3 linked regions of the Canis lupus familiaris genome follow. The protein of the gene in region 2 purifies or fractionates together with the protein of the main gene of each other region. This does not show direct contact. Links are inferred from orthologs where the notes say so. Each region holds a gene or a part of one and is shown on either strand. Other genes may lie near its edges. The genes, in order: GNPAT, BSG and SYMPK.

Region 1 (4,789 bases), on a different chromosome or scaffold from region 2:
TCCTAAAATTATATAATTTATAATGATAGTTTGTTGCATTGTACCAAGTCTGAGTCTACATAAACTATTATTTTACTAATGAGAAATGTGAAATTGGAGAAAGTTCTTGAAACTTATAACCAAGAGTATGGTATGTTGCAGTTTTACACCAGAATTCCATCAGTGAGAAGCTTTTCCCTTATATATTCTCTATGTATGTGGGCATAAAAATGTTCATGTTTGAATATTTCACATGTTTTAGATGCTACCCTTTTTATGTTGAAACTCCTAAATGCTCTGCTGTTTATATTCTCATTATGCTTAGTCATGTTCTTAGCTTAACATTTGTTATCATTTTGTTACTTCAGCATTTAGTTGTTCAATTATGCTATATTCCAAGCACAGCTCTATGTTGAGAAATAGAAGGAGGACATGTGTTTCCCATCTTCAAGATAATTGCATTTTAGGGAGACAGACTTGTGATTGATTGCAGAGCTATGAATACACACCCTAATAGCTATAGGTAGTAGGTAAAGATTTTCCAATGAGGACAGCGGAGTCATTCCCTGTGGGCATCTCAAGGAGGGTTCCACAGCAGAGTGATGGCTGAGCAAGGATGACAGAGGAATGAAAAGGCCTTTGGGGCCCAGAGTTGAGCATGCACCAAGGCCTAGAAGCGAGTCAACAATGGATTGTGTTGGGGAAATGCAAATCATTTGCTATTGAGCGTGGGGGCCAGTGAATCTAGAAAGGGAAGGACAGGTCAGGTCAGAGTTTCTTGTCTGATACCAGAAGTGGCTTAGGTCTTAATTCTGAAGGAGGTGGGGAAGTCATTCAATTATTTTAAGCAGGGAACGATTTGGTCAGAATTGTGTTTTGAAAAGAGCACATGGCAGCCTGGTGGGTTGGTTCAAAGGGGCAAAGAGACCAGTGAGGAGGCTATAGTGATAAAGTACAGAGGCTGGACTTATGACCGAGGAATAGACCTGTTCTGTCCTTGAAGGCCACCTGCACGGTATTAGATGGATCACATGTAAGGATCAGGGAGGAAGGATCTAGAATAAGGCAAAGGATTATACATGGTACAGCAGTTGTTGAGATGCCTGGAAAAAAAAAAAACAGGTTGTAAGACTGTGCAGAGGAGAAAGAAGTTCAGTTTTGGAAAGGCCAAAGATGAAGTGTTTACACTAAATGTGTCCATCAGGAGTTCACATGGGAGAACAGAGCAGGAGATTCAACAGCATGTATAATTAGTACCTAAAACCAGTTGAGTTGGTGCGAGGATTCAGTACTGTTCACACAGACAAGAGGGCTGGAGATGTTAACATCAAGAGAAGTAGGAGGAAGGAAGACATGTTTTAGTTTTGGTTGGAACTTTTCCTCCCAAGTTGAAAATCGCTAGTTTAGAAAAATGAGGTGGATCTTCTGCTGTGCCAAGAGTCATGAATGAAAAACCAAAGTAGGAAAATTTCAGGAGGATTGGAAGAGGGGAAAGAGGGAGTCCTTGAGAATGGTGTCAGGCTGCTGGGGGCGTTTAGGAATTTGAAAAGTAGAAAGAGAGCAGGAGGGCACCTGGGTGGCTCAGTGGTTGAGCATCCACCTTCAGCTCAGGTTGTGATCCCTGGGTCCTGGGATCGAATCCCGCATCAGATTCCCCACAGGGAGCCTGCTTCTCCCTATGTCTCTGCCTCTCTCTGTGTCTTTCATGAATAAATAAATAAAATCTCTAAAAAAAAGCAGGGTTTGATATTGAAATTCAGAAGAAATGTTGTTGCATTCATAATAGCAATGCATGAAAAATAATTCGAATGTCTCTTGTTAAAAATATAGTGGAAGAAACTTAAAGGGGAGCGTTTATAACATGAAGTGGAAAAATCATGTGGCAATTCAAAATGTATGTGTGTCAGGGGAGGGAATATGTTCACTAAAATGGGCCCTGGGTCATCAGATGACAGGTGATTTTAGTTTTCTTTGTGCTTTACTGTGTCTTCCAGATTTTTATAATGAACATATATCACTTTGGTAATCAGAAAAATACTTTTTTTTTTTTTGCCTTTAAAACATTTTATCAGAATCGTTTTGATTAAACTTTGTATCGTTTAAGATAAAGTAAAGAAGTAAAAATGACCTAATTGCTATTTGAGTGCCCCAGAATTGCTAAGCATTTTTCCCCTAGTAAGTTGACAGCTGCTCGCACAACATGCAGGAAAGATGTAAGTTCCTAGGGTCTGCCCAACACTGAAGAGAAGACACCGTTGTGTCAGCAAAACCCATGGAAGCCAGGGAGAAAGGATGTATGTGGCTTTTGGCTCCTCATTACAGCCTGTAGAGGGATGTGGCAGGACCATGCATGACCCAGGCATCCCTGCCATCTCAGCAGCAGTCCTACAAGAGGGTAAAGTCTAAACCTTAGCCCTTCAATCCACCAAGGAAAAAAGGTATTTGAAGAAGCTAGGGCACATAAAATGCATCCACTAAAATGTTTTAAGCCAATTATTAATACAGGAAAATGCCCATAACATACTTAGGCAAGATAAACTGTATTTTGTATGGTCCACATTTTGAATAAAAGCTATGTATTTGTGTAGCTGTGAATGAAAAAAAAGAAACTAAGGAGTGGTAAAGAGTAGTTATTCCTGGGGTGTAAAATTGTGAGCAATGTATATTTACTTATATGTTTCCAAACTTTCCATAATTAACATGGTGAGTGGTATAGGGTAGTGGTTAGGAGCAAGGTCTATGAAGCCATAAGGCTTGAGTTTGAAACATGTCTCTGCCCTTGGCGAGCTGAGGAACCCCAAGTGAGTTATTTTGCCTCTCCATACCTTGGTTTCCCCTTTGTTGTGAGGATCGTTTCCATATTAAGGAATAGTGCTTGGAATAGCAAATCAGACTGCTCACCAGTAGCTTCTAGGAGGACACTTTTTTTCTTAAGTGAATTTTTCTTAAATTTATAAGGAAATATAAGGAAATTTTCCTTATATTTATAAAACCCATGTAGTTTTATTTGATTTGACATCATTTTGAATTTCTATTTTATGCTTTAATTTTTAAAGCTAAGTAGAAGAGGCAAATTTATCATTGTGCTTGATAAAATTGATCAGATAAAATTGACTATAAAGTTGATTAGATTATTCTAGAGCTTAATGTCTCAATCTTTATTATCCTTTGTTAACTTTCCCAGAGGGGTCCTGGCTTTACAAAGATTGATTGCAAGCAGAAATAATAAAATATCATGATAACTCAGTATCAATTTATTGACCCCAATTTTCATTACATTTCTCCTCTTAGTATAGGAAAGCCTATTTTCAGTGCACTCTGCTCTTGTTCATATGCCATAGCATAAAAATGTTGGCAAAGATGAAACCTTACTAATGTAATGTAGTCTCCGATCCTTCCTGATTTACTTTACAGTATGTGCATGACTTTCTTTTATTTGCCTTACCCACAGAAGGAGCTCAAAAAATGGGATGAATTTGAAGATATTTTAGAGGAGAGGAGGCATGTCAGTGACTTGAAATTTGCAATGAAGTGCTACACACCTCTTGTCTATAAGGGAATTACTCCTTGCAAACCAAGTGATATTAAATGTAGTGTTCTCAATTCTGAAGAGGTTCATTATGTCATTAAACAGGTAAGTGATTCCCTCTTCAACCCCAGCCAGGTTTGTTCATTGTCAACAAGGAACAACACAGGAATGAACTGCACAGGTCCACTCACACATCGATTTTTTTTTTCAATAAATACAGTATGGTACTGTAAATGTGATTTCCTTATAGTTTTCTTAAAAATGCTTTATCTGGCTTATTTTATTGTGAGAATACAGTATATCATACATATAACATTGAAAATACATATGAATCAACTGTGTTAATCAGGAAGGCTGTCAGTCAACAGTAGGCTATTAAGTTTGGGGGGAGTCAAAAGTTACGTGTGGATTTTCAGTCACATGGGGGATCGGCACCCCACCCCCATGTTGTTCAAGGGACAGCTGTTGTCTGACAGGGAATGATGACAGTTATGTTGTCAATTACAATGAAATATGATACATGACATGCTAGTAAGAGTCCAGTGTACAGGGGCATTAATTACTTATAGGGCAAATACTTTTGTGTAGGGAACTAGGAAAGTGATTTTTTTTAAGTGATGCCAAAAAGATGGTTAGGGCTTTTTCAGATGAAGTGGGTAAAGAAGTATTCCTAGCAGAGCAAATGACTTTTTCCCCATGGTTAAACCTCACTTCACATTAAAATTGCTGGAGAAACTTCCAAGAATCCCTGTACATAGATCTCACCCTCATATGAATTAAATCAGACTATCAGGGGGAAGGAGCCAGACGTCCTAGTAGTAGTTTTTTGTTTTTTTTTTTTTAATTTATTTTTTTTTTATTGGTGTTCAATTTACTAACATACAGAATAACACCCAGTGCCCGTCACCCATTCACTCCCACCCCCCGCCCTCCTCCCCTTCTACCACCCCTAGTTCGTTTCCCAGAGTTAGCAGTCTTTATGTTCTGTCTCCCTTTCTGATATTTCCCACACATTTCTTCTCCCTTCCCTTATATTCCCTTTCACTATTATTTATATTCCCCAAATGAATGAGAACATATAATGTTTGTCCTTCTCCGACTGACTTACTTCACTCAGCATAATACCCTCCAGTTCCATCCACGTTGCAGCAAATGGTGGGTATTTGTCATTTCTAATAGCTGAGTAATATTCCATTGTATACATAAACCACATCTTCTTTATCCATTCATCTTTCGTTGGACACCGAGGCTCCTTCCACAGTTTGGCTATCGTGGCCATTG
Region 2 (4,889 bases):
CGGGTCCTTTGTCTGTTTTTAATTGGATTATTTGTCCGTGTTTTAAATCCAGTTGTAAGTGTTTTTTATATTTTCTAGATGTAAGGCCCTCCTGGGACACGTGATGTACCCGTGCTTTCTCCCGGCCTGCGGGCCATTTCCTCACTTCCTCCTTGCAGTTCTTTGAAGCACCAGCTGTTTAATCCTGATGAAGTTCTGTTTAGATATTGATTGTCGCTCATGCTTTTGCTGTCGTATATAAGAAACCACTGCCTGAGCCAAAGTCGTCAAGGTGACACTACCTGGTTTTTGTTTGAAATCATTTTGTCAAAAAAAAAAAAAAAAAAGAAATCATTTTGTCATTTCGAAAAGTGTTTGCGGTACGGGCGCCTGGCTGGGTGGGTTGGGCGGAGCACGCGACTTCTGATCGCAGGGTTGCGAGTTCGAGCCCCACGTCGGGTGTAGAGAATACCACTATTATTAAAAATAAAACCTTAAAGGGGCACCTGGGGGGCTCAGTGGTTAAGCGTCTGCCTTGGGCTCAGGGCGTGACCCCAGAGTCCCCAGACCGAGTCCCGCATCGGGCTCCCTGCATGGAGCCTGCTTCTCCCTCTGCCTGTGTCTCTGCCTCTCTCTGTGTGTCTCTTATGAATATATAAATAAAATCTTTAAAAAGATAATAAAATAAAATCTTAAAAAATAAAAAAATAAGTAAAATCTTAAAAAATAAAAAAATAAAATGTATTTGTTGTAAAACATAGGGACCTCACGGTAGGTTTTCCAGGCAAAATGCGGCACAGCCAGTTAATCTGAATTTCAGATAAACGGCGAATGCTTTTCCTGGCATAACTGCGTCCAGATACTGCCCGGGATCCTTGTACCAGGAAATTACTCATTCTCCATCTGCAATTCAAACTTAACTGCCATCCAGGTATTTTTATTTGCTAAATCCGCCAGCCCGCCCCAGCCCAGCGCGACGTCCCACCTGCTCACAGGGATCCCTAACCCCCTCCCTTAATGCTTTTTTCCCCTTCCGTACTGGGATAAAACACACACGATATAAAGCGAGCTGTCAACCACCTGGGAGGATTCCCCCCCAGTTCTGACGTCACAGTCTGAGGCTGCAGAAAGGGAGGAGGGGCCCAGCGCAGGCCACGCCCCCGTTTCCTAGCAACGCAGCCACGCCCCCAGGCAGCGAGGCGGGGCCTCCGGGGTCACGTGGTGCGTCCGCCCGCGCCCGCTCGGGCCAGCGCGTGTATACGTGCTTCCGCGCGCGTGCGCAGGAGGGCCGACCGGCGTGCCGTGCGCGTCCCCGCCCCGCGACGTCGCCCTGCGCGCGCGCGCCCGGGCCCCCCTCAGGTTCTTATAGCGCCGCGGGCGGCGGTTGGCGGCGGGGTCGGCACGGACGGCGGCGGCATGGCGGCTCGGGGGCTCGTGGTGCTGGCGCTGGCCCTGCTGGGCGCCGGGGGCGGCTCCGGGGCAGGTGAGCGTCGGGACGGACGCGGGCGGGGGCGGAGCGGGAGGCGCGGGGAGGGCGCGGGGGCTTCTGGGGGTCGGCGCGGGGGCTCCTGGGGGTCGGCGCGGTGGTTCCTGGGGGTCGGGGCGGGGGTCGGCGCGGTGGTTCCTGGGGGTCGGGGCGGGGGTCGGCGCGGGGGCTCGTGGGGGTCGGCGCGGGGCGCAGGGGCTCGGGGCGGGGGCGGGGGTCGGCGCGGGGGCTCGCGGGGGTCGGCGCGGGGGCTCTTGGGAGTCGGGGCGGGGGCTCCCGGGGGTCGGCGCGGGGGTTCCCGAGGGTCGGCGCGGGGCTCTTGGGAGTGGGGGCGGGGGTCGGCGCGGGGGCTCGCGGGAGTCGGGGCGGGGGCTCCCGGGGGTCGGCGCGGGGGCTCCCGGGGGTCTGGGCGGGGGTTGCCTGCAGCCTGCGGGGCCTGGAGGGATTGTCATTCTTGGCAGGATTTCGGGCCCGGAGCTGCTCGGGAGGCTCCTGCCCCCGGTGTCGCGCGGCGCGCTGAGCCCTTGGGCGCCGGGCGGGCTCGTCCGCCTGCAGAGCCGGGGGAGGAGGTGGCGTCCTGCCCACCCTGTCCTTTTCCGGGGCTGGAAACTGAGGCCCGGCTGCGGAGGGGAGGTGCCCCAAGGTCGCCGCGAGGTCGCCCGGGCAGCCCGGGTCCGGGCAGGGAGCAGGGAGCGTGCAGAGCCTTGTGTTCAGCTCACACAGCGTCCGGTTCCGCGGAGGCCTTGGGGACTGGGCAGCGTTTGGGGGTCGGACCGACGGGGAGAAAGAAGCTGGGTGGGAGCCCGAGTGTCGGGGGACACACAGCAGGACGGGTTCTTCCCGGGGTTGAGACTTCCCGTGTGGCTCTGGGTTAAAGATTTCCAGGGATGGCAGGTAGGGAACAAAGTGCAGGAAGGGTCTGGGCCTCCCGCGGAGCTTCACCCGCTTACCCCTGACCCACTTGACTCGCTTGGCCTCCGTCCTCCTCCTCCTCCTCAGACGGTTTATGAGAGCCTCCGGGCGAGGGCCTTGGGCCCTGGCGGGCGCGCTGCCCACTATCCACTGCCAGCGGGTCCCTGCCGGACTCAGGAGCCCGCAGGCTCGCCGGACGCGGAGAATAGGCTGCTGTTTCTGGCAGCGCCAGCCTTGGGGAGTCGCTCTGCGTGGCTGGTGGCCCCGGCCCGCGGGGCGTGGAGGAGGACTCGTGCTTTTCCTGAGTTCGCCCGTCTGTCAGAGGGGGAAGCACGTCTCTACCTCATTCCTGGCTTCAGTCACCAGCGCTCCAGCCAGGAGGCCGGGAGGACCCCTGCCCCCTCTCCCGCAGCCTGTAGCGGGTGGGCGGTCTCTGCACTGAGCCCACCTGGGATTCGTGTCTGTGCTTGCTTCTTATTTATTTATTTATTTATTTATTTATTTATTTATTATTTATTTTTTATGATAGTAACACAGAGAGAGAGAGAGAGGCAGAGACACAGGCAGAGGGAGAAGCAGGCTCCATGCACCGGGAGCCCGACGTGGGATTCGATCCCGGGTCTCCAGGATTGGGCCCTGGGCCAAAGGCAGGCGCCAAACCGCTGCACCACCCAGGGATCCCAATTTTTTTTTTTTAAATGAAATATCTTGACATGTATTTCATTAGTGGTTTTTGTTTGTTTGTTTTTTGTTTTTTTTTAGGCAGAGACACAGGCAGAGGGAGAAGCAGGCTCCCTGCAGGGAGCCTGATGTGGGATTCCATCCCGGGACCCCAGGGTTACACCCTGAGCCGAAGGGAGATGCTCAACTGCTGAGCCACCCAGGGATCCCTCTTTGTTTGTTTTTAAGTATTTTATTTATTTATTTACTTATATGACAGAGCACGAGTGGGGAGTGGAGGGCAGAGACAGAGGGACAGGCAGGCTCCCTGCTGTCATGGGGCTTGACCTCCAGACCCTGGGATCAGAGCGGAGCCAAAGGAGACGCTCACCCACTGAGGCCCCCCCCCCCCCCCCGCCCCCAGGCCCTGTTTTGTATCACCTTTGATAGTTCCACCTTTCCCGGGAACTCCCAGGAATGCCATGGTCCTTTTTCCCCTGGGACGGGTGAATTATTGACAGCGTGCGCCTCTCCTGTCTGGGTCAGTGTCCCAGACGCTTGCTTCAGGGGACGCTGCCAGCAGTGGCTTTCCTCAACTCACGCAGCACATGCCTGGCAGGTTGGCGCCCGTGTTGGCCAAGGCCCAGGACAGGGACAGGGACTGGGACTGTCGAGGGTCCCATCGTCCTGGCAGGCCTGCTGGGGAGGGCACAGGCGGGCCCCAGGTTGCTAGCTGAGTCCTGCAGGCGGTGGATTTGGCCTCTGAGCCTCAGGTGAAGGGAGCGGGAGCCGCCTCCTGGTGAGATGGAGGGGAGGGGGGAGGCCCAGAGCCTATGGCTGGCATCCCAGAAATGTTCTCTTGCTCCTCCTACCTGAGCAGAGCTGCCTGCCGAGGTGGGTGGGAGGAGGCTGGGTGCTGGGGCCTCCTCCCAGCTCCTGGGCTGTTTACCATAAGGCCTGCCTGGCTGGGTGCCCTGCCCGGCTGCCTCAGGGCGTGGAGGAGGGGTGGCTGTTTTTAGATGAAGGTGACTTGACTTGAGAACGTGGGTCACAGTCACTTGGGCCAAAACAGAGTCTTCGCTTTTCAGGCTCTCTCCCTGTTTCCTTCCTGCCCCTGTGAATTCCTGGGGTGCCTCGGTCAGGGCAGGGGTGTCAGCCTGTGGTTCCTCTGAGACGGGATGGGGATGCCCTGCCTTGGCCCCTCTCTGAGCCCCTGCAGCCCCTGCCCCCTCCTGGAAGTAGCCCTCAAGCCTGTGGCCTTGGGCACTACTTTCTCTCCCGGGAGACAGGGGTGCAGCCGGGCCGAGATCCGACCTTCCCAGCAGCCTCCGGGTCAGGGGACACGGCAGAGACGCGAGTCCTGAGGCTCTGGAGAGGAGGCCCTGTCTGTCTGGGAGGAGGCCCCTCTCTGGCCTCGCTTCGTGCCCTGACTCACCGCTCCCGGCTCTGCACAGAGGGGTTGGTTTTGCAATCTTGGGAAATCGTGACTCCTGAGAAATGCGGCTTACTGGGAGGTGATCCTTGTGTAGAGACGGCACCGCCACAGAAGGGTTTCACTCCTCTTCTGGCTTCACGCCTCTGTCTGGTTGTAGCTGTGCCCGTCCTGAGTCCTGCAAGCGGCCTTTGGGCTACCCCGGGTCGGGGGATGAGGGTCCATCTACCCCAGGACCCTGGGGCACGTCCCACCTTGCCCCGGAGCAGAAAGCCTGTGCTACCGGCCATGCGGCTGTGAGCACGTGCATGTGTGTGACGGGTGTGAGTTTGCACACACGCGTGTGCATCTGTAGGCCAGCATGCGCGCAGGAGGGGCTGCCTGGGGCACCGGAGGGGGGCCTGTGCACTTCCTGTCTGG
Region 3 (4,789 bases), on a different chromosome or scaffold from region 2:
TACAGATCACTTCCATCTTTCCAGAACATTCCTTCTTACTCCTATCCAGTCAGCACTTAGAGCATCCCACCTCCTGAGATAATCACTTTTCTGCTTTCTGTCTCCCTAGATTAATTTTTCCTGAACTTCATATAAATGGGATCATAGAGAGTCTGGCTTCTTTTGCTCGGCATAGGTTTTTGAGATGCCTGCATGTTGTCATGTGAACCAGTGGTTTATTTTGTATTGCTCAATAGTGTTTCCTCATGCAAATAGGCCATTGTTTGTTTATCCACTCTCCTGTTGATTGACCTGTGGTTCGTGTCCAGCTTTTGACTGTTGTGAATGAAGCTGTACAAGTGTTTGTGTATAAGTGTTTTTTGGGATTTGTTTGGGCTGTGGGGTGGGGGTGGGGGGTTGTTGGGATTTTTTGTTTGTTTGAGTATAGTTGGTGTATACAAGTTTTGGTGTACATGTGCCCTCCTTTATCTTGAGTATATACCAAGGAGTGAGATTGTTGGGTCATAGGTTAGGGTATGCTCAGTGCTACTAGAAACTGCTCATCAGTGTTCCACCATGGCTGTGCTGTTTGATACTCCCGCCCACAGTAAATGGCATTTCTAGTTTGAGCCCTGGTTGTATGCAAAATGAGGATAAAAAGTATGCCTGTTTCAGAATGGTGATTTGCAGACTTAAATGAGCTTTGTGTGTATAAGGCTTAGACTAGAACCTAGCACACAGGAGGTCCCTGGATGGGAGCAGAGGGGTAGAACATTCCTGGAGCCCGTTTGCTACCTCCCCCTCAGGTGTGGAACAGACCAAACAGTGCAAAGAGGAACCCAAAGAGGAGAAGGTGGTGAAGCCAGAGAGCGTCCTGATCAAGCGGCGCCTGTCAGCCCAAGGCCAGGCCATCTCCGTGGTGGGCTCCCTGAGTTCCATGTCTACTCTGGAGGAGGAGGCGCCCCAGGCCAAGAGGAGGCCAGAGCCTATCATACCTGTCACGCAGCCCCGGTGAGTTCCCTGGCAGGTGCAGGACTGAGGGCCTGGGTTTTATTTATTTATTTATTTTTTTTTTTTTTAATTTTTATTTATTTATGATAGTCACAGAGAGAGAGAGAGAGAGGCAGAGACACAGGCAGAGGGAGAAGCAGGCTCCATGCACCGGGAGCCCGATGTGGGATTCGATCCCGGGTCTCCAGGATCGCGCCCTGGGCCAAAGACCGGCACTAAACCGCTGCACCACCCAGGGATCCCAGGGCCTGGGTTTTAGTGTGTACACTAAGTGCATGTGTGTGTGCATGTGTTAAAGACAGACTGACAAACAGATAAACAGGTAGGGCCAGATGAGGATCTGTCTGATTCCCGAGTCAATGCCATACCACGAAACCTTGTCATTTTCTTTTCCATAAAAATACCTCCTTATTTATGTTTAAAGTTGGGATGATGGTATCTCTACGGATCAAGGGAGAATTAAATGAGTTCATAGTGATAGGTAATAAAATTAGATAATCCATGGGGATCCCTGGGTGGCTTAGCAGTTTAGCACCTGCCTTCGGCTCAGGGCATGATACTAGAGTGCCGGGATCGAGTCCCACATCGGGCTCCCTGCATGGAGCCTGTTTCTTCCTTTGCCTGTGTCTCTGCCTCTCTCAGTCTCTCATGACTAAATAAATAAAATCTAAAAATAAATAAATAAAATTTTCCTTTAAAAAAAAAAAGATAATCCTTGAGGTTGAAAGTGAATTTGATGTAAAATATTTAGCATGATTCCTATATGCTAAATGCTTTATATACTTTATACAGGATGACAACAACCGGTAGTACTACATGACATACATGCTACTGGTTGTTGTCATCCTCCTCTTCATTATTATCCAGCTTAGAGACCAAAAACTCCTGCCAGTCCCTGCCCCTCCCCAACCAAGACCTGCTGTCTGGGCCTGATCCTGAACTCTGAGCTCTCCATTCCCCTCACTCCCTCCTCCAGTCACATGGGCCCTTGGTTCTCCTTGAACAGCCAGGCAGGTCCCTACTGGAAGGCCTTTGCACTTCCTGTTCTCTCTACCTGGGAAGCTCATTCCCCTGATATTTGTCTGTCTTGTCTGCTTGCTTCATTCAGATCTGCACTTCCACATAGCCTCCTCAGAGAAGTATTTCCTGAGACACACTTACAAAAACAAAGTGGCCCTCTTCTTATTACCCTATTCCCTGCCATGCCTGAGTCACAAGAGAATTAGAGAAGCAGTATAGTGGGGGGTGAGGTTCTCTATATGGCCTGAAGTGGGTCTGGGCTCCAGAAAGGATGTTTTCAGTCACCGTCTCCCTTTCCCTACTCTTTCATGTAGGCTGGCGGGCGCTGGTGGGCGCAAGAAAATATTCCGTCTGAGCGATGTGCTGAAGCCCCTCACAGACGCCCAAGTGGAGGCTATGAAGCTAGGCGCTGTGAAGCGGATCCTACGCGCGGAGAAGGCCGTGGCCTGCAGCGGGGCGGCCCAGGTGTGCTCCTGTCTCCCTAGCCCATGCTTCCAGACTCTCTCCCCATGAGCCTGCCTCACAGCCCAGGGAAGAGACAGCCCTGGGCTCAAACCTCCCAGGCTCTGGGTCCCAGCTGGGCTGCCCACCAGCCTTGCATGCCTCTCTTCTGTCCTCCTCCAAACGGGGGCAGCAGCAGCAGCTTCACACAGTAATGAGGAGGAGGAAACATACGGACGTGCACATCTTTTGCTCAGCGTGGGGCTGGCTGCCCAGGAGAGCCCTGCAAGTGAGGGCTGCTATTGTGTTCTATCTTCCTGGTGGTAGATAGTGTTCCTCTTCTTCTGTGGATTCAGATGGACCAGGTCTAAATCCTGATTCTCTCATATGCTGGCATTGTAACCTCAGCCAAGTGACTTTCCCCCCATATTCCCCCCATTTTTTGAAGTTTAATTTTAATTAACCAAGAAGTATATAAAGATATCCTCTCTGTTAAAAAAGAAAAAAAAAATTTCCAGGCCATAGAGGCCCCATAAGTCTTCTTTGGCCCCCACCTGCATCCCATCTGCTGCCTCAGAGGTGACCAATGTACAAGTTAGGGGAAGCCTTCAGGATCTTTCTCTGTGTACTTAAGTATATAGATACTACTTTTACAAACTCAGTTTTATTCTATGATGATTGATTTCCATACGTACCTACCCATTTTTTCTCTCCCACACAAATGAGACCTACGGGGTATAAGATTCTTCAGCTTGCCTTCCTTGCGTAACCCCCAGGTCTGCCCTGGAGGTCCCTGAGCCTGGGCAGGAAGATGTGCAAGGCACAATCATGAGGTGCCTGGGATTGCCCAGTGCCACACCAACACATACACCCACTCTCCTGTCAGGTGCGCATAAAGATCCTGGCCAGTCTGGTCACACAGTTTGACTCGGGCTTGAAGGCCGAAGTCCTGTCCTTCATCCTGGAGGATGTGCGGGCCCGCCTGGACTTGGCCTTCGCCTGGCTCTACCAGGAGTACAACGCCTACCTAGCAGCCGGTGCCTCAGGCACCCTGGACAAGTACGAAGACTGCCTTATCCGCCTGCTCTCCGGCCTGCAGGAGAAGCCAGACCAGAAGGATGGGTGAGAGGGACAGTCCTGGCTCTCCTGTGTCCTGCCTTTCTTTTGTGGTTTGATCACCTCCCTCTTCACCAGCCAAATCCAAGTGTCCATCCCCAAGACTCTCTGCTCTCCCTGCTCTCTGGAGACACATACAAGGCAGATTCCGGGTGGGCTCTGGGGCCTACTCCCTGGGCTTATTCTCAGCTCTGCTGGTTGCCCTCTGAGCCTCCATTCCTGTAGATAACAGTGCCTGCTTCATAGGCTTGTTTCTGAGGTTGGCTTCTCCCCAGCCCCATCTCACCTGAATTGCTCCTGTAGCTTCCCTCCTTGTTCTCAACCTCCTGCTGATCTATCCATTCGCAGCAACCTGGGTGACATTTTAGAATGTAAATACTAGTTTACCCACTAAAAACCTTTCCTGATTCTCCACTCTTAGGATAAAATACAGCTTTCTATCTGTGCTCTATGAGACCTGCATAACCCAATTCCTACCAACCTCTTTACCTTCTTTTTCCACTCTTCTACTCCTCACTTCCCCCCCCTTGAACATGCCAAGTTCAGAGCTTGGCAGTTCCTGTTTCTGTACCTGGAATGCTCTCCCCACAATTCTTTGCATGACTGGCTCTTTCTCATCCCTTGGCATCAACTCAGTGTTACCTCAAAACAGCGGTTTTTGTCCACCACATCAGAAAAGTGGTACCTGTCCTCATGCTCCATCATTCTCTCCCATTGCTGTAGTAAATGACAAAAGTTAGGAATCCCCATTTTGACAAAGGTGGGAAACTGAGTTTCAGAGAGAGAAAGTCTCTGCCTAAGTCCCCCAGCTGGCAGGGCTCGAACCCTGCTCTGTTTACCTCCAGAGCTCTGTATCCAGGGGGTTGAGCAAGCTGTATGTGACGGACAGCCCTGCCTGCTCCGAGCTCCAGCAGGATTGGGAAGCTTCTCTGCCTTGCAGCCTTTCCCTACCCCTTCTTTTCTGACAGGATCTTCACTAAAGTTGTGCTGGAGGCACCACTGATCACCGAGAGTGCCCTAGAGGTGATTCGCAAGTACTGTGAGGATGAGGTGAGGACAGCCAGCCCATCTCCCTCAGGCCCTAGGATCGTGATGCATGCAGGAGTCCTGCGGGAGGGGGCGGGGGGCACAGGCCTGTGTTGGGGGTCTGCAGAGCACACGGCCTAGACTTGTGGCAGGGGACTCGGTGAAGGACCCAGTCCTTCTGTCCAGTACCAGATAT

Evidence for each region.
Region 1: the proteins of BSG (region 2) and GNPAT purify together in Homo sapiens (affinity purification with mass spectrometry; 3 studies listed by BioGRID and IntAct, counting the BioPlex papers as one, with this or other methods). This does not show direct contact. The link is inferred for Canis lupus familiaris from reciprocal best matches to the Homo sapiens genes BSG and GNPAT.
Region 3: the proteins of BSG (region 2) and SYMPK purify together in Homo sapiens (co-immunoprecipitation; 3 studies listed by BioGRID and IntAct, counting the BioPlex papers as one, with this or other methods). This does not show direct contact. The link is inferred for Canis lupus familiaris from reciprocal best matches to the Homo sapiens genes BSG and SYMPK.

Annotation. Positions count from the first base shown.
Region 1 is NC_049225.1:8,558,850-8,563,638, reverse strand, and holds part of GNPAT (dihydroxyacetone phosphate acyltransferase), read left to right. Parts: intron 1-3,430; coding exon 3,431-3,613; intron 3,614-4,789. UniProt on the Homo sapiens protein: Dihydroxyacetonephosphate acyltransferase catalyzing the first step in the biosynthesis of plasmalogens, a subset of phospholipids that differ from other glycerolipids by having an alkyl chain attached through a vinyl ether linkage at the sn-1 position of the glycerol backbone, and which unique physical properties have an impact on various aspects of cell signaling and membrane biology.
Region 2 is NC_049241.1:58,427,768-58,432,656, reverse strand, and holds the start of BSG (basigin), read left to right. Parts: upstream 1-1,327; 5' UTR 1,328-1,395; coding exon 1,396-1,462; intron 1,463-4,889.
Region 3 is NC_049222.1:110,490,377-110,495,165, forward strand, and holds part of SYMPK (symplekin), read left to right. Parts: intron 1-785; coding exon 786-990; intron 991-2,324; coding exon 2,325-2,475; intron 2,476-3,337; coding exon 3,338-3,573; intron 3,574-4,535; coding exon 4,536-4,617; intron 4,618-4,789. UniProt on the Homo sapiens protein: Scaffold protein that functions as a component of a multimolecular complex involved in histone mRNA 3'-end processing. Specific component of the tight junction (TJ) plaque, but might not be an exclusively junctional component. May have a house-keeping rule.